7 linked regions of the Danio rerio genome follow. The protein of the gene in region 6 purifies or fractionates together with the protein of the main gene of each other region. This does not show direct contact. Links are inferred from orthologs where the notes say so. Each region holds a gene or a part of one and is shown on either strand. Other genes may lie near its edges. The genes, in order: ahdc1, chd4b, daxx, pogzb, chaf1b, cbx5 and si:dkey-100n23.3.

Region 1 (4,142 bases), on a different chromosome or scaffold from region 6:
CTTGGGCGAAATGCTGCCCCCACAACGCTCGCTCCTCCTCCTCCTCCTCCAGTGTGCGAGGAGTCTGAGGAGGATTCAGAGAGTGTGTCAATGCAGGGTCTCTGTTTGGCTTTTTGGGGTGTGTAGTTTGAGATGTCCAGAATGTCTTTGGATTCTGATCCAGTTCCAGCTACTCCATATTCAGAGTAACCATGGAACTGATGACTACCATATGCATCACCACCCCAGTTGTTTCCTCCTTGCCTGTATCCCCACTGAGCTGTGTATTGTCTGCAACCCTCAGGCGGAGAAGAGGATAAGGAATAAGGGCTAGACTTTGACATTGACATATAACTTCCACCTGGCGATGTTGGGCCAGATTCTCCTCGCTGTGTGGTTGAATGGGGTGGGCCTGGATAGCTGCTATAATTGCGCTTGGCAGAGCCCTGGTAGTTGGAATAGCTCATCTGACACTGTGCAGAGGGAACAGAGGGAGTTTTTGTGCCATATGTAAAGCTACAGTCACTTGGCCTTTGCTGTTGTTGCTGCTGTTGAGGGAGGGGATAAATGCTTCCACCTTGAGGAACCCCTGCACTATAATTTGGCGGATATTGAGGAAAACCTCCTGATGGATGTGGAGAGCTGGGTGAACGGGAAAGCAAGAGTGCAGGGGATTTAGGGAAAGATGGGGTGGGAGAAGTCTGTGAGACACTATACGAATATGAGGATTTAGTTGTCGAGCTGCCTTGAGTTTGGGGTGAAGATAATTGTGCCCCATCCCCAAGACAAGCTGCTCCTTTAGGACTTCTTTTCGGAAAGGCAGGAGACCAACGATGAGCAGCACCCGGGCTGCCACCCTCATATCCTGGTGTAAGCTTACGACTTTCCTGTCGTCCAGCAGGGCTGGACATAGAGATGTCTAGTAGATCAGAGGAGTCATCAGAGTCAAGTAGAGAGCGAAAATATCCTGCAAACAGACCCTGAGACTCTTCTCCACTGCCCACTCCTCTCATACCTGGGCTGTGGTACATGCCACCCTTAGTACCGTCGCTGCTTTGAAAGCTTCCACGAGGGGAACATGGACTCTGATAACTACCTGCTTTCTCAGGAATATCTCCTTTCCCTATCCAGCTACTGTTCTCATTTTGCCAGTCTTGCTCCTGGACACCAGGACCATTTTTTAAAGCCCCATTCTTCCGTGGCCGGCGTTTTCTAACTTTCTCACCTTGTGCAGAGTCAGCTAAAGCTGCTCTATTTATTCCCCCAGCAGCCCCCTTGCCTCTTTTTCGAGGGGTTCCTGGTTCAGATGCAGGGACTTTCCTCTTTTTGCCAATTGTTTCAAAAAAGTCACTGAATGACCTTTTAAAGGAACTGGATGCTCCCGCTGCTCCCCCTCCTCTACTCCCCATGCAGCCCGCTCGGCCGCCTCTCCTGCGGAAGCCTGTGAGGCGGTGCAAAAGAGTAGAAAGGGATGGATTTTCTGGTGGTATGTTAAAAGTCTCAGGCTCAGTTGGGGTCCAGCAGCGTGGAGGGGAGCAACGGCCTGTGCTGGGTGGTTGTCTGTTCAAAAAGGCCAGTTTGGAGAGGACATCTGCATATTCTACTTTAACATCATTGGTGTCATTAACATACGAGGGCTGCGGAGATGGCAGCTTCACAGTTCGCCGCCTCCTGATTTTTTTAGGCTCTGCGGCATTGGCCGCTCCGACTCTAGTTTCATGCATGTCAGGTTGTCCAGGTAAAGCCTGTTTAGGAGGACGTCCCCTGCGTCGCTTCAAGATCACAGGAAGCTCTCCTGGCGGAAACATTACCATCACACTCTTTCCATTGTTTTTCATGCGAAGAAGTGCTGTGGGCTCTCGGGGCACGTTAGATACTGGCTCACTCCCTACACCCCCCTCAGGCCCTTCTCCAGTTGTGACCCCTTCTCCACGGGGTGGAGCACTCACAGGCTCCAGGGATGAGATCTTGTAGCTTTTTTGACGTCGGCTCATGTGAACAGGTATTCTGGCTACTTTTACCACAATCCTTTTCACACCTATATAACGTCCCTGCCGCTTCCCTCTAACTGATTGAGTAACACTGCCCTCTGCCTCTGATGTTATCATGCTGTGATTTGGTGTAATGTCTACCGATGTATCTGTTGGTGGTAAAACCTCAAAAGAGGATTCAGCAGCACACACCTCTGGCAGATGTTCCACTATTTGACTGATATCCTCTGTTCTCCACACTATATTCTCCTCTTCTTCTTCGTCCTTTTGGTCCAGTTCCCGTTTGAACATGTGATCTTCTGGAGCTCTGCGTAAGCGGGATGATTTTCGAAGATGGCAGGGAAAACGTGGTCGACCAGAGCTGCGCAGTGTATACTTCCTTTCAGCCTCCACAGAGGTCATGGCAGCGGCTTGGCCTTTTATATGCTCGAGGCCAGTGCTGTCGTCCATTTCTGGCTTACACGAATTGTGTTCCTCCTTGGGTAAGGAGGAAGGGTTGTACTGTGGAGGTGTCAAAGTGTTTGTGTCCAGGGTGGTGTGTAACAAAGGGGCAGGCTGAACCTGTACACTATGCACTTCAGTCTTAGAAGGTAAAGATAAATCTTCTGGGATAAGGGAGGGATCCAGCTCCATAAGTGAGGCGCTAGTAGGTGTGCACATGCCTTTTTGCGAGTGCTTATGTGTTAGCGTGTTCGTGTCCACCCACAAATGTGCATCCACCGGAATGTGTGTATGAGGCTGCAGGTGTGTGCTTGGTTGTGTGAGTGAGTGCATCTGTGGTTGTGTGTTTTGCTGAATGCGCGTTTGTTCTTGTGTGTGTATTTGCTCCACGTATTCTGTCGGTCTGCGTCTCCTTGCTCTACGTCGGAGCTGCTCCTCATGGTTCCGCAGGCCATTAGCTAAAGAGGGAGGTGAATAAAAGTTGTAATGTAGTGCGCTGGCTGGATTAGCATCGCTGGGTCCCATGGATGTGGCCTCGGGCTCTGCATCCCCCTCCCATAGAGAGGGTCCCTCATCATCATTGCAGTCCTTTTCTGGCAGTGCCTCACAAGTCAAGCGAACACCTCCAGAGCGCAGACGACCTGACAGACGGCTCATTACACCCAAAATCGCAGATCAGGATTTCCGTATTTATATGTGTGATATTCTGTATTTCCGTATCAGCGATGGTTCCGGGCTGAGTTTAACTGTAAGCTAGGTCCAGTTCAGCATGTAAGTTTGTAATCTCTCTCCTCTCACTATGATATTCTTGAGCAGAATTAATCTGAGCATCAGGCTTGGGTCCTCAGTTTTCAGGGGTGCAGACAATAGGCAGTTCTTTCCTATGGAAAAAGGAGACAAAAGGACATGTTCATGAATTGCTAAGCAATGTTGGTTAAGTTACTTCAAAAATATAACTTCTCTAATTAATTTGTCTAAATAGTAATCAATTTAGTTGATCAAAAAGTAATTACTAAATAGTAAAAATGAACTTAAATCTCATTGCATAGACCAGGGATGCCCAAACTAGGGCCAGTTGACAAAAGCTATCCCATGGTAACCTTTAATTTGGCCCACCATGCCATCTGAAAAGAGAGGAAGAATGATGGGGATGGTTTAGAGATTGTGATTTCAAATCTAAACCTTTTGTTTGTTTGTTTTATTGTCAAAAGCTTGCTGAAATGATTCAATAAAACAATGTCAATTAATCAGATGTAGTTTAAATATACATACTGTCACCCGACAGATAGAGGACAAATCAAGGCAAAGGCAGGTTCTGCTTGACTTGTGTATTTAGCTTTACACTCCACTGTTATAAATGTGGTTGTTTATGCTTTTATTGCAATAAGATATCATTTTAAATGTTATACTGCATTAGTTAATATGATTTAAAATACTGTTTTCTAATAAATTAGGAAATTACCCTTGGCAACTTTAATGTAATATAGTTTGGTATATTTATCTTCAGCCCACAGCTCCTAATGATATTTGGTTTTAGGCCCTTTATACGAAACAGTTTGGGCACCCTTGGCATAGACAATAGAAATTAAAGTCAAACTAAAACTTTTAGTTTTGTTTAAAAAAACGAACGTATGTATGTGTGTGTGTGTGTGTGTGTGTGTGTGTGTGTGTGTGTGTGTACAGTTGAAGTCAAAAATTATTAGCCGCCCCGTTTATTTTTTTTCCCCAATT
Region 2 (4,142 bases), on a different chromosome or scaffold from region 6:
AGTGCAGCTTTTATTTTTCCAATTTCTTACCCAATAAATGTTTCACTTCACATTCAATTAAACAAAATTATATAGAATCAATGCCCCTCCTTGCATAATCTTGCATCCCTACTTACAAGAAAACATGTGCATTATAAATAATGTGTATTACCTGTAATTCTTGGACCCAAGAACAGTGCCAATATGACTTGTTGCACCACTTTACAAAGAACTCTCTCTCCTTCCGACCAATCATAGGGGGAGGATCTGGAGCCTCAGCTGGAAGGTCTGCAGGGCGGGGCACGGGCATGGGTGGAGGTGCTTCACCCCAGCGCCAGGTCAGAACTTTCTGGACTTTGCCCTTCAGTGGAGGACTCTGAGAAATCATATAGAAGCATTATATTCTGAATGCTCTGCAGAACTGAACTATACAATGCATGTTCATTTAGATAAATTATGTTCAATAAAATGTATACATTTTCAAACATGCTGCAATTTAATATTTCCAGGCAGCTGATATAATGCAATTAATAATACGCAAACAAAACATGCACAAAGACATACATACACTTTATTGATGGAGAATGAGAGCAGTGTTTCTGCAAGTTTTACCAAGTTAAATTTAAGAATTTTTAAGACCATTATGAAGGAAATTTTACACATATACAGGGCTAAACACTAAGGATGGAATGGTTGAGTTCAAAAAAAAAAAAAAAAAAAAAAAAAAAAAAAAAAAAAAAAAAAGATTTTAACTTACCTCATGAAAACTATTTAAATATTTAGTTGTTTCTTAACAACATTTTGTAAATAGGACTAGTTAAATGATCTAATTTAAATATGTACTTGTTAAAATAAAAACAACTTTAATAAACTAAATTTAGGTTATGCACAACAATGTCTAAAATACATGGCGAACTTTTACACAAATGTTTTTGCAAGGGAGACAATTTCACAATACTGGTAAATATTTAATATATTTAGCTTTTGTTCAAAATTTTATTGAGATGGATTATTGGCGATTGGTCCGCCCGATTGGGTAACTTCACATAAACAGGGCAAAATGAAGATGTCTTTACAATGCTTAAAAACCTACAACATACAATTTGTCAATTTAAAAACTTAAGGTCTAAAATTTTGAAAATTAAGACCCTGCAGACACCCTGTACTTCTTTTTTCACTCAGAGAGTTTCAGTTTTACTTTAAAAAAATTACTCATGCTTTATTTATAAATGCTTTTGCATTTGTAGCAAATGTTGTTTATAATGAATCCCACTAACATATCTATTTAATATTTTATATTCCAGTTAAATGTTTCAATATTGTAACATTTTAAATATCTGTTGTGGTAAGAAAAAGTTTGGCAATATTTGTTTAACTTTATTGCTTAGTTATTATTAAATTATTATTAGAAAATGTGACTCAAACACTTGAATGCAACTTATGAACAACTTGAAGTTTTCCCCACAACCCAGCTTTAACATTTAAAGTCAGATATGACCAGACACAATTTTAGACAATTTTAGATATGATCAGACATTTTTTCCAGAAAAATACTGTAGTTTAATTCTTTAAAGTTAATTTGGAATTTGCAATTATTAAGGGTAAATTCTAAACATACCGGCACCTCTAAAAAAAAATCTAAATTCAAAAACTCTCTCACCAGGCAGCGTGGGCAAATCCACTCTCCATTGGGGATGTCTGGCAGGGGCGGATTGAGACAGTGCAAGTGGTAGGACGAGGGACATGTGTCACAGCAAAGCAGCTCTCCTCCATCCTTGCACACACGGCAAAACTCCATATGGTGATCGTCCTCCTCCTCCACATCTCCATCATCCCTCCTTCCATCATCGTTCTCCTCCTCGCCCTCAGAACTCTCCTCGCGGGCCTCCCATTGAATGCCCTCCTTCTCCTGAGAGAGAGACATAAATAATGCATCATCAACAGAAACTTTAGTCATTAAATAACAATGGAATGTAGAAATATAGTGCGCATGCAAAGAATACAGATTTTACTCGATGACCCTAAAGCAGCTGAAGGAAAAGACATATTTGCATGAACATACGCAGTGGGGGCAGCTCCAGGTACCCTCTGGTGCCCTCTCCATGTCAGGATCCAGACAGACCATGTGATAGGCTCTGGGACAGGTGTCACACAGAATGATCTCACCGCCCTGCTGGCAAACCTCACAGTAATCCTGATGATCTGTTTCATAGCCGTCAGCATCCTCATCCACTGTGAGAGAGAAAGACGAATTATATCAATCAATATATACGGCTGTAAAGTTATCAATCTAGTATAGTAGTTTATTATAGTGTGTGAAATCTGTGTTTTGACTTACTTTTCTTCTTCTTTTTGGAGCTCTTGGCCTTCTTATTCTTGGAGCGGCTGCTTCGACTGTTGGATCCATCGCTTACAGAAAAACTGTCAAAATCGCTCTCGCCATCATCCTCCTCACCGCTCTAAATGAAGAAACCATGGGTAAGTGGTACAAAAAATGTTAGCCATAGAGAGAAGAAACAAATGCATGATTTAATACATGTTAACTGCCCTTCAGCAGAATTTACCATTAATAACTATGCAAAATGTATAACAATATCTATCAAATGTTATTTGAAATACGTTCCCTTGATGAACTTGCTTATAATAAATGTTGAAATTCTTTTATACATTTGATCCATTAATGAATCACTGCAAAAGTATTAATTGATAAAACTGTGTCAAAGTTGCCAATGTCATGCTTGGTTTAGAAGCTGCGCATCAATGGATTTGCTCTTCCGTGTTTGGACTTTCAGCAGTGACATTTAAAGCACACAGAACTGAACATCAACTTTAAAAACTGGACTGACAGTTTCAAGTTACTAGAACTTCTATGTTAAGCTGCTTTGACACAATCTACATTGTAAAATTGCTATAGAAATGAACATGAATTGAATTAAAAATATACCAATATAACATACTAAATAGTTTATACAATAATATTTTATTATATAAATAATAATTATATAACATTTATATCATATAATACTTTTTTTAAACTTTGATGATACTGTTTAACTCAGCAATAGTGCTAATTATGTTGCAGTAACAAAAGAATATACAGAGAAAATATACATACAGATGAACGCTTTCTCTTAAAATTGCCCAGTTTAATCTTGAGGGGTGCCACTTTCTTTGCTTTAGACTTTTTGTCCTGGGGCTTTGGGGTAGGCTTGGTCTTTCTACGTGCATTTGGGCCTGGAGCAAACACAAAGTAAAAAATAACATAATCACACTTTTGGCCTCAAAAATTATTCTGTGCTCTGTTCATCATTTATCCACATTCTCTGCTCTTCTCCTCTGACCTTTGCCCTCTTTGGTCTTGGCTTTCCGCAGTGGGACTGCTGGGGGCTGCTGGGGTGGGGGTGGGGCAGCGACAGGAGCTGCTGTTGTCGTGGGCGGGGCTGTGGCTAATGCCGGTCCTCCTCCTCCTCCTGCATCCACCTTGGTCACCATACTTTCCACTGCAGCAGCTACATTGGCAGCTGCCAGGGCTGCATTGGCACTCGCTGAGCCTCGCATTGGATTATTAGTGCTGAACTCCCGCCACTTAGCTCCCAAAACCATCATCATCTTTGACACAGCGATCTTAGGGTTCTTAGCAGCAATTAGAGGCCTAAACATGAGTGGAAAAAATAAGACATCTTAGATCAGTCACTACATAGCATATAGGATGGATGAGGCGATAATTGAAATGGGACAAAATAAAACATGAGATGTGGAAGAGGCACTGCTCTACCTGACAAACTGACTGAAAGCTTTGTAATTGGTGAGAGAGTTGTAGTCCTCCTGGGTAAAGGTGTAGTCGATGTCTTTCATTCCCCAGTCTGCTAATAGCTGAGAGGAAGATTTGGGCTCCTGTGAAAAAAAGGACAGAGGATGACAGCTAAACGCAACTATCCGAAGGTGAACAAATATAAATATCAATCATTTGACCAAAAACTTTAATGCAGAATGACATTAACTGACTAGTATACACTGCTACTCAATTGGGGTCAGTACAATTTTTAATATTCAGTACAGTGCTTAATGGCAAAGACTATAGATTACACAAGACATGTCACTCGTATCATTTTGAATGTGGAAAAGTGTAAAACCAATACTGTGAATAAAGTTGGCCTTTTAGC
Region 3 (4,730 bases), on a different chromosome or scaffold from region 6:
GCGATGTGACTATTGCAGATTCATACATTGCAATACTGATGCTGAAACAATATATTCTTCAGCCCTAATCATAACTATATATAAAAATAAAAATAATTACACAACATTTTATTCATGTTTTAATCTTAAAATGATTTTTAAAAATGAAGAATATTTCAGATTACCTAAATATGAAATTGTATAATATAATTGTATTAATATATATTTGTAACAGCAAAAAGCTTGTCCTGTTCATCGAAATGTATCTTTTTAATTACTAAAATGTAATTCAACCATTAAAACTGAAAACGTTTTTAAATTAAAATGGGAAAAAAGACATTTTGAGTTATAAAATAGGGGATTTCTGGGCAATGTTTTTTTTCCTTTAAAAAAAAATATTCAGTTTTGATGGCCAAATAAGCTTTCAGTAATCAAAAGTTTGTAACAGTTTCACTTTACTCCAATGAAAAAGGAATGTAAAGGTTAAAATGAAAAGGAGTTATATGGCCTTAATATGAACAACATTTAAATGTCAAATCAATTTTTAAGTGAAACTGAAACTAGCAGGATGTAAGAAATGTACAAGGGACAAGGTGATATTTTTGGGTGTATTTTACAGAACAGCATATCCAAGAGCATGGTTTATCTATCATGACATCAACACAATAGGTATGCGTTTTAAATATTTAATATTTATGTATTCTGCTTGTCTGTACATACTTGAGCACTGAGCATTGAATTGATCAAGACAGTCAAAATCCAAACTGGTGTTTCAAAATCAGCATTTACCTGGAAAACAATAATATCAACAATGTCATTTTTGGGACAAACGCTTAAACGCATAACCCTTTAACTCCCCAACCAAGAATAGTTTTGGAATTCCATTTCTTAACTCCCAATGTCGATAGTTAACACGTTTAATGAATTTTTGTCAACACATCCCATAATTTCTAAAATATCAACCTCTACCAAATGGTTAATATGTTGGTTTATTTACAGTAAACGTACCTGGAATAAATACATATACTGTAATATGAAAAATCTGAAAACATGAACTGTATAAGACCAATGTATTAAAAAATAAATAAAAAATTCAAAATAAAACATTTTTGAACACTAAATCATCTTTACTTTTTGAAGTATGTCATAAATTACCTCAGATTCTACTTTAATACGATTTCTGGTTGAGTTTGCTTTACAATAAAACCAAAATCAAATGTAGACGTGCAACAGGATTATATTTGCTTAATTTTTTTTTGTAAACCAACAATGCCGTGTGTGTAACCATTATTTAAATTGAGGTAAAGCTGGTGATATATTTGCACATTCATTCATTTAACGATCTCTAAATTGTTTACCACACTACTTTTAATATTAGGTCTGAAATTGCATTTACGTATGACTTCAAAACAACATAAGCACCATTTTATTGACTGTGAACAATGTTCTACATTGATAGTCATCGGCTGCTAATATAATTTCTCCATTTAGAATTTGCAAATACTTTTATGAGATTATATTAAGGAGAAAGTCCAAATGTGGAAATAGAAAAACTTCATCTACAGCTGAGGTCAGAATAATTAGCCCCCCTTTGATATATATATATATATATATATATATATATATATATATATATATATATATATATATATATTTTTTTTTTTTTTTTTTTTTTAATATATTTCCCAAATTATGTTTAACAGAGCAAGGAAATTTTCACAGTATGCCAGATAATACTTTTTCTTCAGGAGAAAGTCTTATTTGTTTTATTTCGGCTAGCATAAAAGCAGTTATCTAGTCAAATAATATTTACTGTCATCATGGCAAAGATAAAATAAATCAGTTATTAGAAATGTGTTATTAAAACTATTATGATTAGAAATGTGTTGAAAAAACCTGCTCTCTGTTAAACAGAAATTGGAGGAAAAAAATAAACAGAGGACTAATAATTTAGGGGGGCTAATAATTCTGACTTAAACTGTATATAATTTCTGTCAAATTTGTAATTAACATTAATTACTGTAAAATGAACAAGCTCTAATTCCATAGATGAAGTGAACAATATCACATTAAGTGTTTTCTCCCCATTGAAATCCAAGTAAGGAATAAGATAAGCTTAACACGGCTTAATGTTCCTTAACAATAAGCAGTTAGGCTTTTTTTCTCATAACAGACTTAAATAGGGGAGAAAACACTTAATGTGAAATTATTCACTCTGTTCACTTTATCTATGGAATAGAGTTTATTTGACGTAAATTATGACAGATATGTGGGTTTCTCTGGTTGTTGTTGTTGTTCTGATATACTAAGCCACGTTTAAAATGTCCCTATTTTTCTGAATTGAAGAGAAAACATTACATAGTTAAACGAAATACTATAATTAAATATCTAACCAGAATTTTAAAGACAGGAATCTTAAAATCGTAGCCAAATGCTACTTCATATTGCTAGCTTTCGATCATGTGATAATGTGACACAACTATGATGATTCACACACAACAAACTCGGTTAACTAGTACTTATGATTCGTCACCATCTTGATAAAAAGAATTATCAGACATTAAACAAAACCACACAAGACGTATAACATGTATCTATATCCAATAATATGCCTCCACATCCGTCTCCTATAACACAATAACAATACGAGTGAATTTGAGCGGTAACTATGTTTATGATGTCTTTTGACTGACTTAATACCATATCAACCAGATTTAACTGGATGTGTCAATGAGATTTTCACACTGTTTACACTTAACATAAATATAAATGTAATAATTTCAGTTATTTTGCCTTTTGGTTTGAAGACTGTAGCTCTTTAATTCGGACATGCCATACAGACTCCTTCCGTTTATTTGTTAAAAGCATTAAAACGACGATAGCTAAGGTGTAATTTCATATTTGTCAGTTTCCTCACAACCTTCGCAAACGCTTCGTGATTATGTTTAAAATAAAGTCTTATTCGAAGTCGATCAATAATAGACAAAAAACACGAACTTACGCGCTCGGATCCTGAAACTCGGCGCTGGATCTTTGTACAGCTCAACATGCGGCGCGCTGGTTCGCTGACGGTCAGTATACTGATCGCTGATTGGGTGAATGCTTTGCTTTTCTTCTGCGATCTGTTTGCTACGCTAATCATTTAGATGCGTATCAGCGCCTCGTAGGGAACTGGAGACTCTAGAATAAACTGATTGTACAGTTCTTCAGATAACAATAACATGATGTGGTAATGAAGCAAATTTAATTTCTTAGCGCTAGCAGGTGCTCATCTAGTGTTTTGCTTCTCCAGAAACAAAACTGATACTTATCAGGGAGCCACTAGTAGTGTGAGGGTTGAATTCTACAATTATTATGTGCTGGCTACCTGAGAGTAAAAGAAAATAAAGAAAACAGGCAATAAAAATCTCTATTATTTTTCCAAACACCAGACCAGAGGCCTACATTTTGAAGAAAATTAAATAAAATAACAAATTAAATAAATAAGCTGAATTATTAATTGTTAACTGTATTAACCCTTTGATGCACAAGCTATAAAATAGATATAGAAAAAATAAGCAGAGACAGGTCACTTTAGACCCATTTAGTGCATCAAAGGGTTAATAATGAGTTGATTATTAATTAGAAATAATTAATCAATTTATAGAGCAATGTTTTTCAAAGATTTATTTTATATAAAGTAGGCCTTAATAGCATATCATAAAAAGCACAATCAACAGATTAACCTTTTAAAAATGTATTTAAAATACATTTCAAAATTAAATAAAAATACAAAATCCCAAGGGTGACACAGTGACCACAGAGTGGTGGAAAGAGTACTGAAAAATCATAAGTAAAAGTACCATTACTTGCCTAAAAATGTAGAGCAAGTAGAGTAAAAGTATAGCTGTTGTAAATATTACTTAAAGTATGAGTAAAAAGTACCTCCTATATGCAATTTGACAATAAAAGACAAGACAAAGAAAAAATAAAGTAGTAACTGCAGGTTGAAGGAAAGTGGTGGCGTAAACGTACAGATAAAGCACTAAACATGTACTCAAGGGAAAGTGAAAGTACACATTTATAAAACTACTTAGTAAATTACAATTCCTGAGAAAAAATACTCAAATACAATAATTTGAGTATTTGTAGTTAGTTACTTTACACCACTAGTGCTTAGCACTGTCGCCTCACAGCAAGAAGGTTGAGTGCCAGCTGGGTCAGTTGACATTTCCAAAGATAACATGCTCCAGTTTCTCACATAGTCCAAAGACATTCGCTATAGGTGAATTGAATAAACTAAATTGGCTGTAGTGTATGTGTGTGAATAAGTGTATGGGTGGTTCCCAGTACTGGGTTGCATCTAGAAGGGCATCCCCTGTGTAAAACATATGCTAGATAAGTTCCTGGTTCATTCCACTGTGGCGACCCCTGATGAATAAAAGGACTAAACCGAAGGAAAATGGATGAATAAATGTTTTGGAGGCATGTTTTGGAGTTCAAAGTCTAATGTAAGAAATGTTTTATTACTAAGTGCATGCATGGTTTAATTATAAGCACAACAGGAGAACAATAGTAGAATGCACTTTTGGAACTGGTATTGGATCATTGTTGGCACTTTGAAAAGGAAATGTTGGCAATGCCGGCAGTTAGCTCTCTGCGACTCTCACATGGTCGCCTACTGAAGCTAAACAGGGCTGCACTCGGTCAGTACCTGGATGGGAGACCACATGTGAAAGCTAGGTTGTTGTCAGAAGTTTTGTTGATGAGAC
Region 4 (4,142 bases), on a different chromosome or scaffold from region 6:
AACACCATACATCTCCACCCCTCTCTTTTGTCAACTTTAATTAGAATTTAGCCTTTATCCACAACAGATTTGGTCAGCAAAATAGGTTAACGCTACTCTGATAGGGTTTACATTTGTCTTTGATAATGCTCTTTGTGTGTCTGTAATTAATATTCATCACACGAGCCATATATGGTCAAATCATGGATCTTTTGATTCTGTTGGTACTTTATGGAGTAATAAAAGTGCTTATAAAACTGTTTCTGGAGATTTTTTTTTAAATACCAAAGCCATAAACCTACTATGTATATATCAGAGAACAATTTAACTTATTAAACAAATGCTGTATGTGGCACCCTTAAACAAAAAGATTAATAAAATAGAAATAGTTCTTACTAGATGATTCAATGGAGGTATGGACACTCTCAAGGTGGCACTGCAGACGAAACGGTGTAGGAAAGCGACGGAAACAATGCTGACAGGATGTGTGGTTGTCCATTTCCCCATTTTGTTGATCCAGTTCAACATGGTACCTCATATGGTTCATAAGTCTTCAAAGAAAACAAGTGATCACTAATGGCACAGTTCCAACATATCAAAGACAGAATAAACAAAGACTAGGAAATTACTTAAAATAAAACCTATCATTTTCAACTAGATATTTACAATAAGACTTCTAAAATCAGTCCATAATCGTACCTAATATTATTCTTTAGTTTCTTGCTACAGGTCAGGCATCTGAATGATAATGGTTCTTTTGAGTTGTCCATTGGTACATAGACTCGATTTCCCTCAAATGTGCCGTAGTAGAAATCATCAACCAGCATGACGAGTCTGGGATGGCTATCTCCTGTTTTGCTAGGTGGGCTATCCACCTTGGCACTAGGCACAACAGAGGCACTCTTAGGTGGTGTTGCTGGGGGTTTCACAGCTGTTGGGGTACTGCTTGTTTCAGTCATGTGGACCAGATCAGGGCAGCAAAACTAAGAGAGAAAGGGATTCGTTTTTTAGGTGACCAAACACATTTACAGTCTCCTCACAAAGTATGTACTTACACACATATGACCGCGTAGAGCCTCAATCATTCTGAACTGAGCTCCACAACGAGGACACAAATGAGTGGTGGTTGTTGATGAGGTTGCATTTGGAAGTGGGATCGCTGCAAAAACATAATTTGGAATTTATCAGCATGGCTTTACTCTAATAGGAAATCAATGTAATAGTCAGAACAACAAACTTACTTTGGATGACATTTTGTGAGATGATAGGAACAGCAGAAGAAACAACAGGACCATTTTTGGTATTTTGATTGCTCATGACTACAAATGTCTGCGCCTGAGCCCCACCAGGAAGGTTCACAGACTTCACAAGATTCATTAGGTTTTGCATGTCTAGGGGTCCATTTCCTTGCTTTATTGTCACTGTAAATATAAATAAATTCAATTTTAAAACAGATAATTGTAATTCTGAATGCTGATTGACCAAGCAACTGTGAAAAATACACATAGTAGCAAACAATTATTAAATACTTGATTTCTTTATTTGTATCTTGTAGAAGAATGCCAGGCATTTACAAAACTTTATTTCAAATGATTTAATTTAATTTACCGGATATGTCTCTTATATCTGGTTCAGACTAGGGTTGTCGCAATACCATTAATTCATGTTACGATACTATACAAGCTGAAGTATCGTGATACCAAGTAGTATTGCGATACTGTAATTCATAACTCAAATTCATGACATAAAAACAATTTTCAGAAATACTATATTTTATGTTGTAATAGGCCTACTTGAATTGAATTATGATTCCTTTATTATTGGAAAAAAGTACTTGCATGTCACTTCAACTTAAATGTATTTGTTCTTTCTGTTTATTTTGTAGATAACTGACTAACAAAAAATACACTAAAATAAAATTAAAGTAAGTACATTAAAGTAAAGATACAAATTATACCAAATCAAATTTGCATTAATAATAAAATTAGCATTATTCCAACCAAACTAGGTTTTATGAAGTGGTCAAAATTTAGTAGTAGATCTAGTTTAGTCATTCAAATTTTTACTTTGCGAGTTGCTCTTTTTAGGATATTGTCGCAGTTGTTGTAGCTACAAAATCATATTGACAGGAACAGAAATGAACTGATTCAGATTTGATCTGAAAACATGTAATAGGCTACCATAAAATGCTTGAATTCTACACAGTTTGCAACCTTAAAGGGCTCCACAGACTATTCAAATAAAATGGTCTATTGTTTCACAAACTTGTAAGCATTTTAGTGACTTTTCCACATGCAACATTATGTATTGCTGATGGACCGTTAATGACGATACTACCGTTTACAAACTACAGTGGCACTGCCAGTATTTTGGAGCCGTAATATCACGATACTACCATAGCACCGGTAAACCGTGCAACCCTAGTTCAGACTACACAATAAATGTCCTTTACCATGTTTTTAGCACAATCAATCTGATGATGGTGATTCATAAATGACATCGGGTGCCAAAACAGCGCATCATATAGGTTGTTTTCAATCACGTGGTTCTGGTGACGCGCAAAATTCAGATGAAGGGCAGGAAGTAAAAAACTGAATGGGAGACAGGTAGGAAAGTCCATAGTTTTGCGAGTTTTAAAAGAGACATAAATAGAAAATAATCACATTTGTTGGGCATGATCTTAATATCATGAAGAAGGCTGAGTTATCTACTGAACTAAAATATATTTGCCTGTCATTGAGGTAGTTACTTTACATGAAAAATACTTTAGTAAATACAAAAGTGTTAGGAAGCATCCTATAGATAATTACTAGACTTGAACTGTCGTAGTGATTATATTGTTGCTGTGGTACAACACAACTGTAGTAATAAACTAATTATTCAACAGGCTTCATTTTTCTTCACTATAATAAACCATCAGCATGCACTACAGTTTACACTAATGTTATTTATTACAGTTTATTAGTTTACTACACTACAGTATTCTGTAACATTCAATTGCAGAGTTGTACACATTATACACTTCACAAAGTGGCTCAAAAACATGTTTATTATAAATTACTATAACGTTTTTCCCGATGCGGATATCTTCCAGACATCATTAAATAAAGGGTGAAAGCATACAATAGCGTGGATGCATAGTCTGCATTATTATTTATTTACTTTTGTAAGAGGGAATGAACTTCACAGCTGCTGCGCATCTCGATGTTGACATTACACTTGTATATTCCACCAAAACGCCAGTAAAGACAATTCAAATCAAGACAGAGATTTTATTGCAGCGATTACAAGGCAGGGTACGTTGTTTATATTCTCCTGGATTTTGTCAAATATATTTATACATATAGTTGGGCCTGTATATAATCTTCATTGGTGCTGTCAAACGAATTATCGCATTCAAAAAAAAGTTTGTACACACAGATGTATTAAAAACATGCCGCCTTTTTCAGCCAGTTTCTTGAACTTTGCCCCCTTTATGAGTAAAAACTTTTAGAAGTCTATAAAAGCTGCTCTGCATTTTTTTATTTTGCTGATTTAAACCTTTATAAACAACATAAAACAGAAATATTGTGATGTTTTGATAGCGATTCCTATGTAGAAGAACCACTTCCTGCCCTCAATCTGAATTTCGCCGAATTTCATCATGTGCAACCTTTTGGACAACATCTGAGATGCTTTACAACATAGTGACAAAAAGACTGATAAGTTTTTTTTTAAGATCCTTCATAACCGTTTCTGTCACATCTGTGATGCTGACCAATAGAAACAAAGAAGCTCTTTCACACACAGCTTCCATAAACATGACAAAATGAAAGAGACAATTCGATTTCAATTGAGTTTGATTAAATTCTTTGAAAAGTTTTTTTCTGACAAGAATAATAAACTAGTTAAACTGACTAGTTAAAATAGTTAACATGTTGTTTTATTAGCCTTCTCTGGCTCTTGTTTTTTGAAGCCAGTCACTAGTTCTGTCTTCTGAATGAAAATAAAAATAAATAACTAATTAATAACAGGAATTATTACATAGATAGAAAACAATATAGTTTGAATCAGGCATTAAAAATCTAACTTTAAAAAGTTCAATTAAATTCTTATTCTTACCTATTTTAGTAGTGGTCCTGGTAGGCTGAGTAATGGTTGTAGAAGATACGATGGGTAGAGAA
Region 5 (4,142 bases), on a different chromosome or scaffold from region 6:
AAAAAATTGAATTAAAAAACAATTGATTAAAAAAAAAAAACATCATGTTAGCACAACCATGATAAAGGCAATAAAAAAATCTATACGTTGATGCATTAGTTTATAGTGTCAAAGATTAAATATTATCCATCCTATAGATTATTACACGGATTTACCACAGTACAAACAGATTTAGAGCACAAACCTCTTAAAGCTTTTTCTAGAGAACACATATGTTGTGTTTGTGACATTCTCTCCAGCCTCAACACACCCAGCTACAAAATAAGAAAAATCAAAAGATATGACTAAACTACGCAAGGCATGAACAAGAAAGTAAGCCCTTTGGTAAAATACACTGCACAATGTATTAAATAAGTCAACATAAAATGCATGCACGTAAACATTTACTGTATACAGACATGTAAAAGTGTATTTAAAAAGTGTAAAGGTGTACCTGGCGCCAGGAGGAATGAGCCATCTGGTGTGAAAGTGAGACGTCTGAAAAACGATCTCATGCTGTCATCATGAAACATTCTGTAGTTCTTCACCTGAACAAAAGCAAATAAATCTAAATATAAAAAAATATTGTGTATATACTTTTAAAATAAATTATATTCAATATATAAAACATTCTACAAATGCCAGCTTAAAACAATAAATGCAAAACAACAACAAGCAAACAAAAACAAAAAGACACACACATCACCTAAATTGGTCTCACAGTTCAGTTTCTTTATGATTATCGTGTCATTGATTCGGTTCAATTTGTTATCTTGGTGCATTGACGATGCTTTCTATCCACAATAATACATTTTTTTCTTCACAACACAAGAATTCAAAAATTTGTAAATATATTTATTATATTTAAGCAGTCAGATATATTAACTGTACCTTTAATTTTACCTGCCCAAAGAAAACACTCTTTTTGAATGGTTTAAACAAAACTTAAACACAGGTACAATGACAGAAGACAACAGAAGATAACTAGACAGTAAAGTTCGTCGAGACAAACTTTGAGGCTGGCTTGACAAAGCCTGTTGGTAATAGTTTATTTAGTTTAAAAACAGTTTGAAAAAGTATAAGTAGCATGTTATTAGCATGATTCTAGCATGAATTAGCATGATTCTAGCATGGATTAGCATGTTATTAGCATGAGTGTAGTAAAAAGTTGCATGTTATTATCATGATTCTAGCAAGAATTAGCATGTTACTAGCATGATTCTAGAATAAATTAGCATGTCACTAGCATGATTCTAGTATGAATTAGCATGCTACTAGCATTATTCTAGTATAAATTAGCATGTTACTAGCATGTCTCTAGTATGAATTAGCATGTTACTAACATGATTCTAGCATGAATTAGCATGTTACTAGTATGATTCTAGCATGAATTAGCATGTTACTAGCATGATTCTAGCATGCATTAGCATGTTACTAGAATGATTCTAGTATGAATTAAAAAAAAAAAAAAAAAAACACTATTCCAGGCATCCACTGGAAAACTGTCTGTATAAAAACCCTACGTAATAGTAGTAGTGCATTCCAACAGAACATGCTTTCTAGACAGGAGTCTGACAAAACAGTTTCTGATTGGTTTTGGGAGAAGCTGAAATAAGGTGGAAGTTTTATTAAGAATAAAGAGCAACTGAGGATCACAGAAACACACCTCTCCATCTGCAGTAGCGGATGATGTCATCTTACTGATGCTGTAAGCTTTTTTTCTGTTGTGAGCACTGTACACACGCATCACCCTAAAACACAGATTTACATGTGGTCAATACGCAAAACAGCAAACCGGTGAAAGTGTTAAAGATTATATGACTATAATGAGCCTTATCTAATGAATATGACGAGTTTAGATGCAAAAACATCCAAGTGCCAGGTGATTTTTTTTTCTAACCAAGTAGCTTTCCCAGGCTCCTGTGTGCAGGTTCAGTAATTTCATTTTTTATAGAAAAGAATACTTTTTTTTGCTTGTGAAATTACTAAGTAAATGCTAATGAGAAAATGCTAATGTTGAAATATTTCAGATGACACTTTTCACATCTAAACTCGTTATGTCTTTAAAACACTATGTCTACAATGATATCAATATTAATCAATATATTTAAAAATAAATAAAAAATTTATTAAATAAATAAATAAACATGCTAACCTGTCACAGCTTAATGTGCTGATGTACTGTCCAAGTGGGTCCCACGCTACTCCTTGCACATAACTCTTATGATCATTAAAGATGCACATCTTCTGACCTGTAAACAAATTAGGGATTGTATTCAATTACCATAAAACAGCATAAGGTTTAGCTTGAAAACAAAACAAAAACAACAACATTAACACAATACAAAATTTCAAAAGTGTCTTATCCTCATTTAGGAAACACTCCTATTAAAGCAAGAAAAAAAAGAAAAGAAAAAAAAAAAGCACAGGTTCTTTAATCTGCTTTTGGCTTCATACCCTTGTTGACGTCCCACATGATGGCAGTGTTGTCCACAGAGCCTGAAGCCATGAAATTCCCATCACTTGTCCATGAGATATCATATACATCCTCAATATGTCCCCTAACAAACACATACAATTGTGAGCCTTCACATAAGTTTCACAAAAAGAAAATAACTTGCAATAAACCTAAAAAGTTGATTCTGTAACGTGACATGCATCTAAAAAATCCTGAAAAGATTAACATACAAACAAAACAATAAGTAGTACAGGCAAAGCATGACACTTTCATCAGATATCATGCATCTGAACGTGCTCATTTGCAATTCACTTTCCATTTCAGCCACATATACATACAAATCACCCCCCCCATTTATTTGATTTATTTTTATACAGAGACTTTGTACAGCATGACATGTTGTGCCAGAGTTAGCTATAAAACTTTACATCTGTAGTCCTTGGATAAATACAGTTGAAGTCAGAATTATCGGCCCCCTTTGATTTATTTTAAAATATTTCCCAAATGATGTTTAACAAAGCATTAAAAATTTTCATAGTATGTCTGATAATATTGTTTCTACTTGCGAAAGTCGTATTTGTTTTATTTCGGCTAGAATAAAAGCTGTTTTTAACTTTTTAAAATCCATTTTAAGGTCAAAATTATTAGCCCCTTTAATCTATATATTTTTCTGGATAATCTACAGAATAAACCCTTGTTATACAATGACTTGCCTAATTACCCTAACCTGCCTAGTTAACCTTATTAACCTATTTAAGCCTTTAAATGTCACTTTAAGCTGTATAGAAGTGTCTTGAAGAATATCTAGTCAAATACTACTTACTGTCATCATGGCAAAAATAAAATAAATTAGTTATTAGAGATGAGTTTTTAAACCATTATGTTTAGAAATGTGTTGAACAAATCTTCTCTCTGTTAAACATAAATTAAGGGAAACAATAAAAAAGGGGGGGAGGGGGGTTAATAATTCTGACTTCAACTGTAAAAAATGTTTTTCAAAGTTGTCCTAGGACAAAAATGGGTGTTGTCCTACAGTTTTAGGACAACTTCGATAAAAGGTGATTATTCGCTTCAAATGGTGAATACAGTAAATATATATTTGTGTGTGGTGTGGAATGTTACATTATAGGTCATTTTTTTTCTAGCCTGAAGTCAATTGTTACATTTTCAGATTCACAAATGCTGCAACTTGCTCCATTTTATGAATGTTCGCTGTAATTTTCATCCATGCATTTAGGGTAGGACTCTCTTCTGATGATTTTTTTTTTCTTTTTAACAGACACCAACAGTATATTTGTACACTTTTCCCTCTTTTAACCTTTCTTGGGGTATATAAAAAATACTACAAAATGGTATGGCAGATTTAAAGATAATTTGTAAACCATTGTATATATTTTTCCAATAGACCTTAATAACAGAGCATTCCCAGAAAATGTGATTTTAGTGTTTCTATCTTGTTTTCTCCAGCATACAAACAAATTACCAGACATATCAGCTCTTTGGTTTTTGTTTTTAATCTTAGTCATCCAACCTTGGCTGACTGAACAAAGAAAATTGCCTGTAGAAGATTTCCACACTAAAGAAAACAGAGCCTCAAAGTAAATAACTACAGACCAAGGGTACTTTAAAGGTGTTCAGATGCCAATGCTACCTTTGATCCATTTCAAACTCCTGAAAATGAACCCTTTTGCTCTGCCATGAATTG
Region 6 (4,884 bases):
CTGAATATTACAACTGGTCAAAAATATTTGGAAAAAACTAAAAGAAAATGCATTTTATTTTTTCCATGATGCCCCGTCTAACTGCAAGCAAACCCCAGTAAGTAAGCCAGATCATTAGTATTTAAATTAAGAGCATTTTCATTGTATCTGAACTGAGTCTCTTTTCATGCATTTTAAGACATGCTGAAACACATACCAGGGGTCCTGAGACATGAAAACTATCGCTCAGACAGTACTGGATTATGCAAAATGCAATGAGCACTTACTCTGTAAAGCCTTTCCATTTGAGGAAATACTCCACACGCCCCTTCACAACTCTCCTGTCCAAGACCTTCTCCACAACGTACTCTTCCTCATCTGAGGAAGCAGCTTCATCATCTTCACGGTTCTGGCTCTTCTTTCCCATGGCTGATTCTGAAAGTCTTTACTACAAGCAAATTTGACCTGTGTGGCTCCCTGGTCTGGGGAGGAAAGTGGTTGAACTGAAATAAAAAATAATTACATAACTACATATTTGTATTGATGACAATCAAATTATTTTTATTATTATGTTATTTACTAGGGCTGGGCAATTAATTGAAAAGTAATCAAAATAAAACTATAATCAATCTAATTTTCCCAGGACAATTTTTTTTCAATTACTTTCCCTACAAGTCACGTAACCCCGCTCTGTTAAAGGCTGTGGCCGATTTCTACTTTTGCGGCAACTTTGAGCCACAACTGATCCTTGGTCAAGTAAGACGATGGACTCATTCTTAAGCCTTACTTTGCACTACACTGACAATGATTGGAAACTGCGCCAGAGATGCCTTGAGACAGCATATAAAACTTGTCAGAGAACTACGAGGGAAAATAATCATTCATTAATTAATTAATTGTAATAGAGTTAAAATGTTCAATTAATTGAGATTTAGATTTTAGGCCCATAAATCGCCCAGCCACAATATTTACTATACAATGAAAAAAGTTATATAAAAAATAAATTTTGCAAATAAGACTAATGAAAATCTGTATTTGACCATATTAATTAAAACACTGTTCCTGATATGAACTGAAGTAAATGCATTGAACAACATGCGAAACAAACACCTGATGATCTATGGACTATAGGTTTTGCCAAATATCTACACATCTAATTATAATGTTATTTTATATAAAAAAAAAAACAGTAACAAGAAATAGAGATTTGGACAAAAAGACTAACCATATATTATTTATATTTTAAATCTGCACAAAATTAACATCAAGTTTCAAGACAAATTGTAAATTTATTAACTTCACAACTGATTTTTAAAAGCAAATAAAAGCTTTATTTCTACTGTATCTTGTTTTCTTAGCTTTACTTATATATTTGTCACCTCAATTATACTAACCATTTTTTTTTATTAATTACTCAGTGTCCAAGAACACAAAACAATGCTTACTTAGCACTAGTTTCTTTTGTAAAACTGAACGTCTTGGATAAAAATATCACAGTATTGTGATCACTGCTCTACAATATATTCTTTTTAATTGTCTGGTTTAAAAAAAACAAACACTTTTTCCCTTTGAATACAAAATATTTTATTTTGAGATGCATAACATTTTTTGGGAAAGTAATCATGTTAGGCTAAAGAATTAAAACAAATCATTGACTTCTGCTGTCTTCATTTAGATTTCTCTATAATTTAAAACGGCATTTAAGGATATATTTTCTGCTGAAGATAATGTTGTCGTTAAAAATTAGATTAAAAAAAACTTACATATACCATAGGAACGATATAGCATTATATTTTGGTGGTTTTAAAACCTCGACTTTTCCAAATTGTGGTATACCTTGAAAACGCTTATCGCCCCATGCCTAGTATAAGCTACATTCTACAAGACAGTATTGAATGCTGTCTATATCATGTAAACTCTACTTCCAGCAAAAACGACTACATTAATTATGCATAACGTGATCACAACAAACAGTAAGCAGTAGGGTCAAAATCTTACTGGTTAGAGGAAAACTTATTACTCTAACAGCAATGACAAAAGTCAACATTTGCTTTTCCTGCACTCACCTACAGTCTTCTATTGTTGGGCGTGACCTCCTAAAGAGCAGAGATGAGACCTGGATTACAGCATTCAGAGCTCCCCTAAACAAATAAAGTTGATTTAAACACAAAAAAAAATTGTATTGATATAAAACTCTGATCTTAAACTCAACTCTAATAAACGTATCCTACATATTTCTTTGGAAATATACACGCACTAAAGACCTATTAGACTTCGATTTAAATTATTTTAAACGTACACTCTACAATAATAACAACAACAGATTGTTTACGAAACAACTAGTAAAAGTGGGACACTTTTTTCATTGTTAAATCTAACATAAACGCATTGCACTAATGTCAGCATTTGCCTACAAGACACATTTAACAACTCTAGCTCCAGGAATGCGATAAATCGGCCATGTGTTCTTATCTTAATGTCATCAAAAATTTTAGCAAGCATGCAAGGCCAAACTGTGTGAAAACACCTAGCAGACCTGCACAGCTTGTCCTACCATATGCAATCTAATTTCCAATAATTATATTTCAATATACACAACATACAAACAAATCGTGAACGTATTTATGTGCAGTGCTAGCTGCAATGCTAACATTTAGCAAGAGAAGGATCATTGATTGCTACTGTTTGCGTCGCTAAAAGCTCATTCTGCTAGAAAACTATATATAAAACTTACGTGTTTGAGAAATAAGTACATGTATTTCACAATGCTGTTTTTGATATATGACGAACTATAAGCAAGCTTAGCAGGTCACCATCGCCTGCGAAAAAAACAATAAACAAGAATCCCCGATGTTTAGGCACAAGATAGCAGGCTAATTTAGCGTCATTAGCACACACGCGCTACTTCTTTCCACGATTTTCACCGTTTAACAGCTGCAAACGAGTCGTTTACACGAGTTTTCGCATTTATTTGAGTGCTATCGTCGTGCTCGCTAACGCACCGAGCCTTTGCTTAGCAACAGCGCGGGCCGAGCAGAACAGATTTCACCTGATCCTATCACGTTTTAAACGTGGCATTGACAGCGCTGCTCGCTCCCAATGCAAAGCGAATCCACAATGACACATTTGTACATTAATGTGACTGATTATGTCATACTTACTGAGATATTTTTCGACGTTTCTCTATTCGTGCTGGATAATGAGGCTGAGGCGGCGGCGGCTTTTTCCTTGCACACAGAGTTTGCTGCCTCTCGCGCATGCATCCGTCCAGCGGCGCGTTCAGCCAATCAGCGTGCTCCTCAGCGAGCAGCTCTCGCGCCAAAAACGGCCTCGGCGCATACAATGGGATGCGCACGCGTCACACTGAAACCAAATCCACACACTTCGAAGAACATTTCAGATTTATTTATTATTGTTAAGCAATAATACTATTTAAAAAATGAATAATAGGCACGAGTGTACATGCGAAAGTGGTGTATGTAATATGAAGTAATATGAAGGAACTTATAGTCTGAATCTTTTAACCCACCATACAATAAAGACTACTTTTTGTGTTTCATAAAAAAGATTCTTCAGCTTTCTGAATAAAATATTTTAGAATTTTTTAAGCACTAGCCTCTTCTATGGATTGACTTGAGTGTCATCCAATCAGATGTCTTTAAAGCGCCAAACAAAAGCATTAGCGGGAAGCCTGAACCAATCATCGTTCCCGGTGGGAGGGGACTGAATTCATCCAAGCTATTTATGGTATCTCCCTTCTTCTCAGTGCGTGTCTCACCGACAAGCGTGTGGCGTAGCACGGACAGAAATAGTCGGTAGGATGTCCAAAGAGGTAAGTTGGCGTTATTATTAATATAGCGCTTTCGAATGAATATATATATATAATGCGCCAAGCATGTAGTCGTAGCGCCCTTGATGTTATATAATTCAGCGTGCACCGCATTTGTGGTTCTTTGTTAATGTAAGCGTGTTCGAGCCGCCATTTTAACTCCTGTAATGTGCACACATAATTTAGGCCGCATGGCTTCATCGAAGGTCGTGTTTTGCAAAATCGGTATTTATTTGTTTTATAACTATTCAGTCGTTGTTTCGAGCCATGTTTGCACGCATTTACAACCTCATGTGTTTTGTTGGAGGGAGTGCGCGGTTTAAAATTGGACGTATAGTCCTGCACTAACATGGCGGATGTTTCGTTCACCTCCCCCCAAATAGAGTGCGTTACCGTATGGATTCACGACGCTTTTTGTTCCAGTAAATCCTTGGTTTGATCTCCGTTACCGATAATAAACACTATGCACATTGCTGCTGTGATTCTAAACCGAAATCGGTTGTTATTTCCAGGGCCAGCCACGTGAGCCAGAGCAGCTGCGGAAGCTCTTCATTGGAGGGCTCAGCTTTGAAACCACAGATGATAGTTTAAGGGCACACTTTGAACAATGGGGCACCTTAACAGATTGTGTGGTAAGTTCCTTTTAATATTTTAAGGCTATTTGAAATTTATTAATGCATTGCAACATAAATTTCAGATTTATTTTATGCCACAACGTTAGGTGTTTTAATCAATGTTTCTGTTTTCATTTAGGTGATGAAAGATCCAAACACAAAGCGCTCCAGGGGCTTTGGGTTTGTTACTTACTCCAGTGTGGATGAAGTCAATGCCTCTATGGATGCACGTCCTCACAAGGTCGATGGTAGACTTGTAGAGCCCAAACGAGCCGTGTCTAGAGAGGTGAGGTTAACTTTGTAATAAAATTTAAGGAAATTAAGGCTTGAATTTAGATGTCTAATTATGTATGGGTTACAGGATTCCAGCAAACCATTTGCTCACACAACTGTGAAGAAGATTTTCGTGGGAGGCATCAAGGATGATACAGAGGAGAACCATCTACGCGACTACTTCGATCA
Region 7 (4,754 bases), on a different chromosome or scaffold from region 6:
TTGTTGACCGTTGTGATGATGTCATATGTATAAAACAAGTGTTTGTAACTGATCAGAGAAAAGGACTTTCTATAGCAGGGGTTCCAAACTTTTCAGCCCACGACCCCAATATAAAAACGGCACACATATACCAATATGCCCAAGTCTATTAATCATTTAATTTTGAAGAATGCCACTCAGAGACCATCCTCCATGTTCAGTTGTGGCCTCTATTTATTTTTATTGCATATGAGTGTCGTAAAGTCACCAGAAAGTTGGTGCCATCAAATCAATGTGCTGCATCTGACGCTATTGCTGTGTCTTTAATATAACCGCAGGGGTTGCAAAAAATAGTTGAAAGGCTGATTGCTTTTTATTTCCAAGATATTTTTTATGATTATTATAAGCATTTTATTATTATTAACTATTTTGTAAAAAGCCAAGCGACCCCCCCCCCCGGGTAGTCCCGACTCCCACTTTGGGAACCACTGTTCTATAGTAACCCTGTCAAAATATACTGGATTTTCTTTTGTAATGGTAACCTCATGTTGATGAGTTGTGTAATACAAAGACAAAGTAGATTAAAGTAGAACCAAAGTTTCACCTTTTTATTTTTGCCATAACAAACATGATCTTATAAATAATGTCAGATTTAACAATTGGTTTTTACTCATTGTACAATCAGTTAGTTGATGAGTATAAACACAAAAGCTGCAGATAAACATCAGATCTGAACCGCCCCTGAGGCAGAGGTTGATGACCAGACCTTCACAAACTACAGCTAATGGAAAAAAGATGAAAAAAGAATAAAGTAATAAGAGTCGGCACATAAAAAATAAAAGGTCACGCAGAGAAAATCTGGTCTGTTGTCATATAATTGTTACTGCAGAATCTCTGAGACAAAACAAACTTAGATGGTCTTGTTGGAGCACCAGCATCTAAAACACAATATATGCTATTGTCTAGTGATGCTGTTTATTTAGTGGGGAGGCCACTATTGTGCTCAGATTTGTTTCTGCGTGACCTTTAACTTCATGAACCACATTTCTGTACAGCTGTCTCTGTCGGAGCAGATGACCCAGCAGCACCTTCAGGCTCTGGAGCTTCCATTAATGCAGCAGCTGATGCATTGCGCTCCTTCTTACCTGGAAACACAAGTCAGGCTTTAGTTTAAAACATGCTATGTGTACATTGTGAAATGAACATTCATGAACTCTGGTGTACTTTGTCTCATTCAGATAGGAGTATTGAGTGACTAAACCCTGATACTTTCATTCTACTGCTTTTCATAATGCTGAAATATGGAAACATTATTAAGCATGACATTCTTTTTTTGCCCTCCAAGTATGTAAACACATCCATCCACCATCCTCCCTGGCATCATCAAAAGCTTCTATGTGCAAACAGATTTTTTTTCTTATGATTTATACTACAATTCAGGTGTTCACACTTGGCTGATTATTTATAATAAGCTTGTTTGGCATGCTGTCCCAGGAGAGAGCCCTGAGCTCAACGGATCCTCGAGCACAGGGCTCTCTCCCGTTCGCAGGGCGGGAGGGGAGTTTGAGCTCAGGTAGACCTCAAAAACTCCGCACTGCTGATGTGACTAAAGGTGAACTGCTTTAAGAAGGAAATTTACTGACGCTGGGACCTAGACTATGGTGCCCATTCGGTTTATTAAGTTAACGTATGACGCATTTTTGTAGACGGTGGGAGGAAACACAAGGGAAACCCATGTGGACACGGAAAGAACATGCAAACTCCGCACAGAAGCATCACCCAGCCCGACGAAGACCAGTGCCAGTGGTGTTCTAGCTGTGGGGCAATAGTGCTAACTACTGGGCCGCCTTGCCGCCAAATCTAAGTAAATGGGGAAGAAGTGGAGGAAGGGGAGTTTCTTGTAGTTAAAGATGGTTGTGGAATGAAGACTGTGGTTATTTATAGAGCCTTAGGGGTAATCTGATAGGAAGATCATGTATTAGCTATTGCGGGACCGGCTGTGGTCAATCATAAGCATGTGATCCTCCTAAAAAAAGTTTATATATAAACATCAATAAATTTACAATTTTAATGTATGTTTCTGTTCTTTTACTGTAAATTGATAGTTACTATTAAAAATTTATAACTACTAAATAATTAGATTTTACTTTGTATTTTTATAATGTAATATATTTAAAGTGTGATGACGTACTCCAAACTGACTTTGACAAGTATCTACTTATTTATAGTAAATATTTTGGGCAACAATCTGGTTCTACAGTATGCCCTTAAAACAGTGCAAAACGTACATAACAATAATGGTAATCCAATGTATGGTTTGTCTGAATGTGAACAAAACTCACCTTTAGCCAGACTACATGGTGTGAGCACAGGCTCTTCTTTCTGCTCCCCCTCTTTTAGGGCAGAGCTGATCTTGCGCACCACATAGATACTGGCTGTAGAAGAAACATTACAGTGCTATTAAGTAATGTTAAGTCAACACATTGATAAGCTATACAAAACACAAATAACACCTCATTGTATCGTCTCTGCAGCTGTATTTTACTTTATACGAAAGCTTTCATGATGGTTTCAGATCATGCTATACTTTCGAAATGTAAAAGTATCGAAGCGTAAGCTGGTAGAAATACACATAAATGATATAGCGCTGTACCTGTAATGCAACATTTACAACAAAAAAGAAATGTTTACCATACTAAAACTTAACATTTGTACAGTAACGTTATATGCTTCGTAAACAGGAAGTAAATCTTTTGAATCTTTTGTTGTTTTCCTGGTAAAGATTTACAACAAAACAAAGAAGACTTACCTTTTATCAAAAGTCATACCATGGTGAAGAGAAAGTACAATTTTTACTGTATCCGTTACTTTCTCAGCAGTTTTTCTTGAAACGCGTTCAGGGGTTGTTGCTGTTGCGGAAGCGCCCTGCCTCTTCAAGTATATGCGTGCCCAGCGGCTGTTATGAAAATCTGTTACGTATCGTCATTGTTGCGTTTCTCATCATTACAACGCACTTCTCACGGATTGGTTGATCGTCAGTTATGATGAGCTGTTGACCAATCGGCATTAAACGTGCCAGCTGACACGACGACATAACAAAGCTAATCAGGAAAGGACATCAACGTGATATACTTTACTTTTTGTACTAGTTTCACTCAGTTGAACACTTTATCAGTTGAATACTCTTTCGTAAATACATGGTTTGTATAAAATAAAACTAAAGAAGTATAAAACATTCTCTCCTGACAAATTATTCACACATCTGTCCACTCGGTGTCAGCATTGCATACAGCGGTTTCGTAATTCTAATTTACACAACACAGACAATGTAAGTTTATGTCACTGGTTTATTTCGAGAAGCTTTCACAACCCTTTTGTAAAGCAGTTCTTACTCAGGCTTTCTCGTAAATCATCCTGATTTAACATCTAAGAGGATTATATCTAATTTACTTAATGTTAATTAGCTGATTAACTGAAGTCAATACCTCATTCTATTATACAACATGACACAAACACAGTATAAATGTTAATAGATTTATATATAAACTTTGTTGCAAACAATACAAAAATATAGCATACATTTTCATAAATATGATAATAAAACATGCTCATTGTTCTCAAAGCATATCCTAAGTCTGAGATATTCAGCTGAATGAAATAGAAAAAGCAGTCTTTGATTCGATTTTATACACAACGGAACACGTTAAGGCAGTAAACAGCTTAAATTGCTTTGCCTCATTAATACAGTACAAATGCTATGATGCTACCCGTCATTAAAGGCAAAAAAAGTCTTTTTAATCAACAACTTTTTTCTGTTTTCCAACTATAGTAAAAAGTGTCAATACAAAAGCTTGATAAACAAACACTGAATGAAATTCTTCAAAGGTGGAGTGTGTGAAAATATGCACAAATAAGCCACTTCTCTAAACATTCTCCCATGATGCCCTGTCTTTTAAGGCCATATCCGGACTGTAGAAGAGGACATTGCCGTCTTCCTCGTCTGAATCGGAGTTCGCATCGAGCTCATGTGTGTATCTTACATTTACAGCATGGTACTCTTCAATCCTTGTGCTGTCACACAACCGAGACTGAATCGCCATCTGAGCAAATAAACATGTTACATGAACAACAGATTAAAATCAGGTAGTGCAGATGTTCTGATAGCCCAGTAACCATGATATGTAAGGTGAGCAATCACAGCCATTGGTTAAAAGTAGTAAAAGTGAGCCCTACCTTTATTCCTGTTACACTCATTTGACTCCAGGTGTCTTTACCGAAGACGAGAGCATTCGCAAGCCCATGCAACGGTGCACTAAGCACATGCAGTAACGTCAGAGAAAACACTGGATCCTTTGGGTAAGCAGCATTATGAAGTCTGCAGAAATATACATACAGATTAGGGTCGCACAATGTACAGAACAATATTTGTTATCATATTGCATCTGTTGCCTTGCTTCATTTATGTATGCCCCTCTTCTTAAAATATCCAACAAATCACTATTCATTACTACTGATTGGTCTAAGGATATCAGTGGAGATATAAAATTTTCTCTTCTGACTAAATCATCAAATGATACATTGGAAACTATTGTATAGACTCTAGTTATCCCTTTTAAAATGATTTTATAAGCCTTTATCATCTTCCCCAGATTGTAGTTTATGTTTACAGAGGGCAGTTGGCACTTATTTTCGTTATTATTGGTACTGTCCTGCACTTAATTCTTTTTGGTCTCAGCTGGCTCATAATATTTTATTTTTGTTAGGAAAAGATGTAG

The links.
Region 1: the proteins of cbx5 (region 6) and ahdc1 purify together in Homo sapiens (affinity purification with mass spectrometry; 3 studies listed by BioGRID and IntAct, with this or other methods). This does not show direct contact. The link is inferred for Danio rerio from reciprocal best matches to the Homo sapiens genes CBX5 and AHDC1.
Region 2: the proteins of cbx5 (region 6) and chd4b purify together in Homo sapiens (affinity purification with mass spectrometry; 5 studies listed by BioGRID and IntAct, with this or other methods). This does not show direct contact. The link is inferred for Danio rerio from reciprocal best matches to the Homo sapiens genes CBX5 and CHD4.
Region 3: the proteins of cbx5 (region 6) and daxx purify together in Homo sapiens (affinity purification with mass spectrometry; 3 studies listed by BioGRID and IntAct, with this or other methods). This does not show direct contact. The link is inferred for Danio rerio from reciprocal best matches to the Homo sapiens genes CBX5 and DAXX.
Region 4: the proteins of cbx5 (region 6) and pogzb purify together in Homo sapiens (affinity purification with mass spectrometry; 5 studies listed by BioGRID and IntAct, with this or other methods). This does not show direct contact. The link is inferred for Danio rerio from reciprocal best matches to the Homo sapiens genes CBX5 and POGZ.
Region 5: the proteins of cbx5 (region 6) and chaf1b purify together in Homo sapiens (affinity purification with mass spectrometry; 8 studies listed by BioGRID and IntAct, with this or other methods). This does not show direct contact. The link is inferred for Danio rerio from reciprocal best matches to the Homo sapiens genes CBX5 and CHAF1B.
Region 7: the proteins of cbx5 (region 6) and si:dkey-100n23.3 purify together in Homo sapiens (affinity purification with mass spectrometry; 3 studies listed by BioGRID and IntAct, with this or other methods). This does not show direct contact. The link is inferred for Danio rerio from reciprocal best matches to the Homo sapiens genes CBX5 and SENP7.

Annotation. Positions count from the first base shown.
Region 1 is NC_133194.1:46,323,701-46,327,842, reverse strand, and holds part of ahdc1 (transcription factor Gibbin), read right to left. Parts: intron 3,293-4,142; 5' UTR 3,069-3,292; coding exon 1-3,068. UniProt on the Homo sapiens protein: Transcription factor required for the proper patterning of the epidermis, which plays a key role in early epithelial morphogenesis. Directly binds promoter and enhancer regions and acts by maintaining local enhancer-promoter chromatin architecture.
Region 2 is NC_133191.1:34,973,557-34,977,698, forward strand, and holds part of chd4b (chromodomain-helicase-DNA-binding protein 4), read right to left. Parts: intron 3,874-4,142; coding exon 3,755-3,873; intron 3,632-3,754; coding exon 3,321-3,631; intron 3,214-3,320; coding exon 3,095-3,213; intron 2,439-3,094; coding exon 2,318-2,438; intron 2,212-2,317; coding exon 2,042-2,211; intron 1,889-2,041; coding exon 1,640-1,888; intron 356-1,639; coding exon 152-355; intron 1-151. UniProt on the Homo sapiens protein: ATP-dependent chromatin-remodeling factor that binds and distorts nucleosomal DNA. Acts as a component of the histone deacetylase NuRD complex which participates in the remodeling of chromatin.
Region 3 is NC_133194.1:8,084,629-8,089,358, forward strand, and holds the start of daxx (death domain-associated protein 6), read right to left. Parts: upstream 3,031-4,730; 5' UTR 3,029-3,030; coding exon of another isoform or gene 2,981-3,028; 5' UTR 2,965-2,980; exon of another isoform or gene 2,848-2,964; coding exon of another isoform or gene 2,773-2,847; intron 769-2,772; coding exon of another isoform or gene 700-768; intron 1-699. UniProt on the Homo sapiens protein: Transcription corepressor known to repress transcriptional potential of several sumoylated transcription factors. Down-regulates basal and activated transcription.
Region 4 is NC_133191.1:42,527,207-42,531,348, reverse strand, and holds part of pogzb (uncharacterized protein LOC561483), read right to left. Parts: coding exon 4,081-4,142; intron 1,401-4,080; coding exon 1,221-1,400; intron 1,139-1,220; coding exon 1,035-1,138; intron 963-1,034; coding exon 679-962; intron 531-678; coding exon 376-530; intron 1-375. UniProt on the Homo sapiens protein: Plays a role in mitotic cell cycle progression and is involved in kinetochore assembly and mitotic sister chromatid cohesion.
Region 5 is NC_133184.1:32,226,193-32,230,334, forward strand, and holds part of chaf1b (chromatin assembly factor 1 subunit B), read right to left. Parts: intron 2,541-4,142; coding exon 2,437-2,540; intron 2,232-2,436; coding exon 2,135-2,231; intron 1,731-2,134; coding exon 1,646-1,730; coding exon of another isoform or gene 1,459-1,645; intron 576-1,458; coding exon of another isoform or gene 528-575; coding exon 434-527; intron 255-433; coding exon 185-254; intron 1-184. UniProt on the Homo sapiens protein: Acts as a component of the histone chaperone complex chromatin assembly factor 1 (CAF-1), which assembles histone octamers onto DNA during replication and repair.
Region 6 is NC_133198.1:39,408,433-39,413,316, forward strand, and holds the start of cbx5 (chromobox protein homolog 5), read right to left. Parts: upstream 3,214-4,884; 5' UTR 3,141-3,213; exon of another isoform or gene 2,714-3,140; intron 2,121-2,713; 5' UTR 2,046-2,120; intron 483-2,045; 5' UTR 407-482; coding exon 267-406; intron 1-266. UniProt on the Homo sapiens protein: Component of heterochromatin that recognizes and binds histone H3 tails methylated at 'Lys-9' (H3K9me), leading to epigenetic repression. In contrast, it is excluded from chromatin when 'Tyr-41' of histone H3 is phosphorylated (H3Y41ph).
Region 7 is NC_133184.1:31,919,850-31,924,603, forward strand, and holds the start of si:dkey-100n23.3 (sentrin-specific protease 7), read right to left. Parts: upstream 2,915-4,754; 5' UTR 2,789-2,914; intron 2,415-2,788; 5' UTR 2,322-2,414; intron 1,125-2,321; 5' UTR 1-1,124. Other genes in the region: si:dkey-100n23.5, read right to left, coding at 3,903-4,079, 4,213-4,354. UniProt on the Homo sapiens protein: Protease that acts as a positive regulator of the cGAS-STING pathway by catalyzing desumoylation of CGAS. Desumoylation of CGAS promotes DNA-binding activity of CGAS, subsequent oligomerization and activation.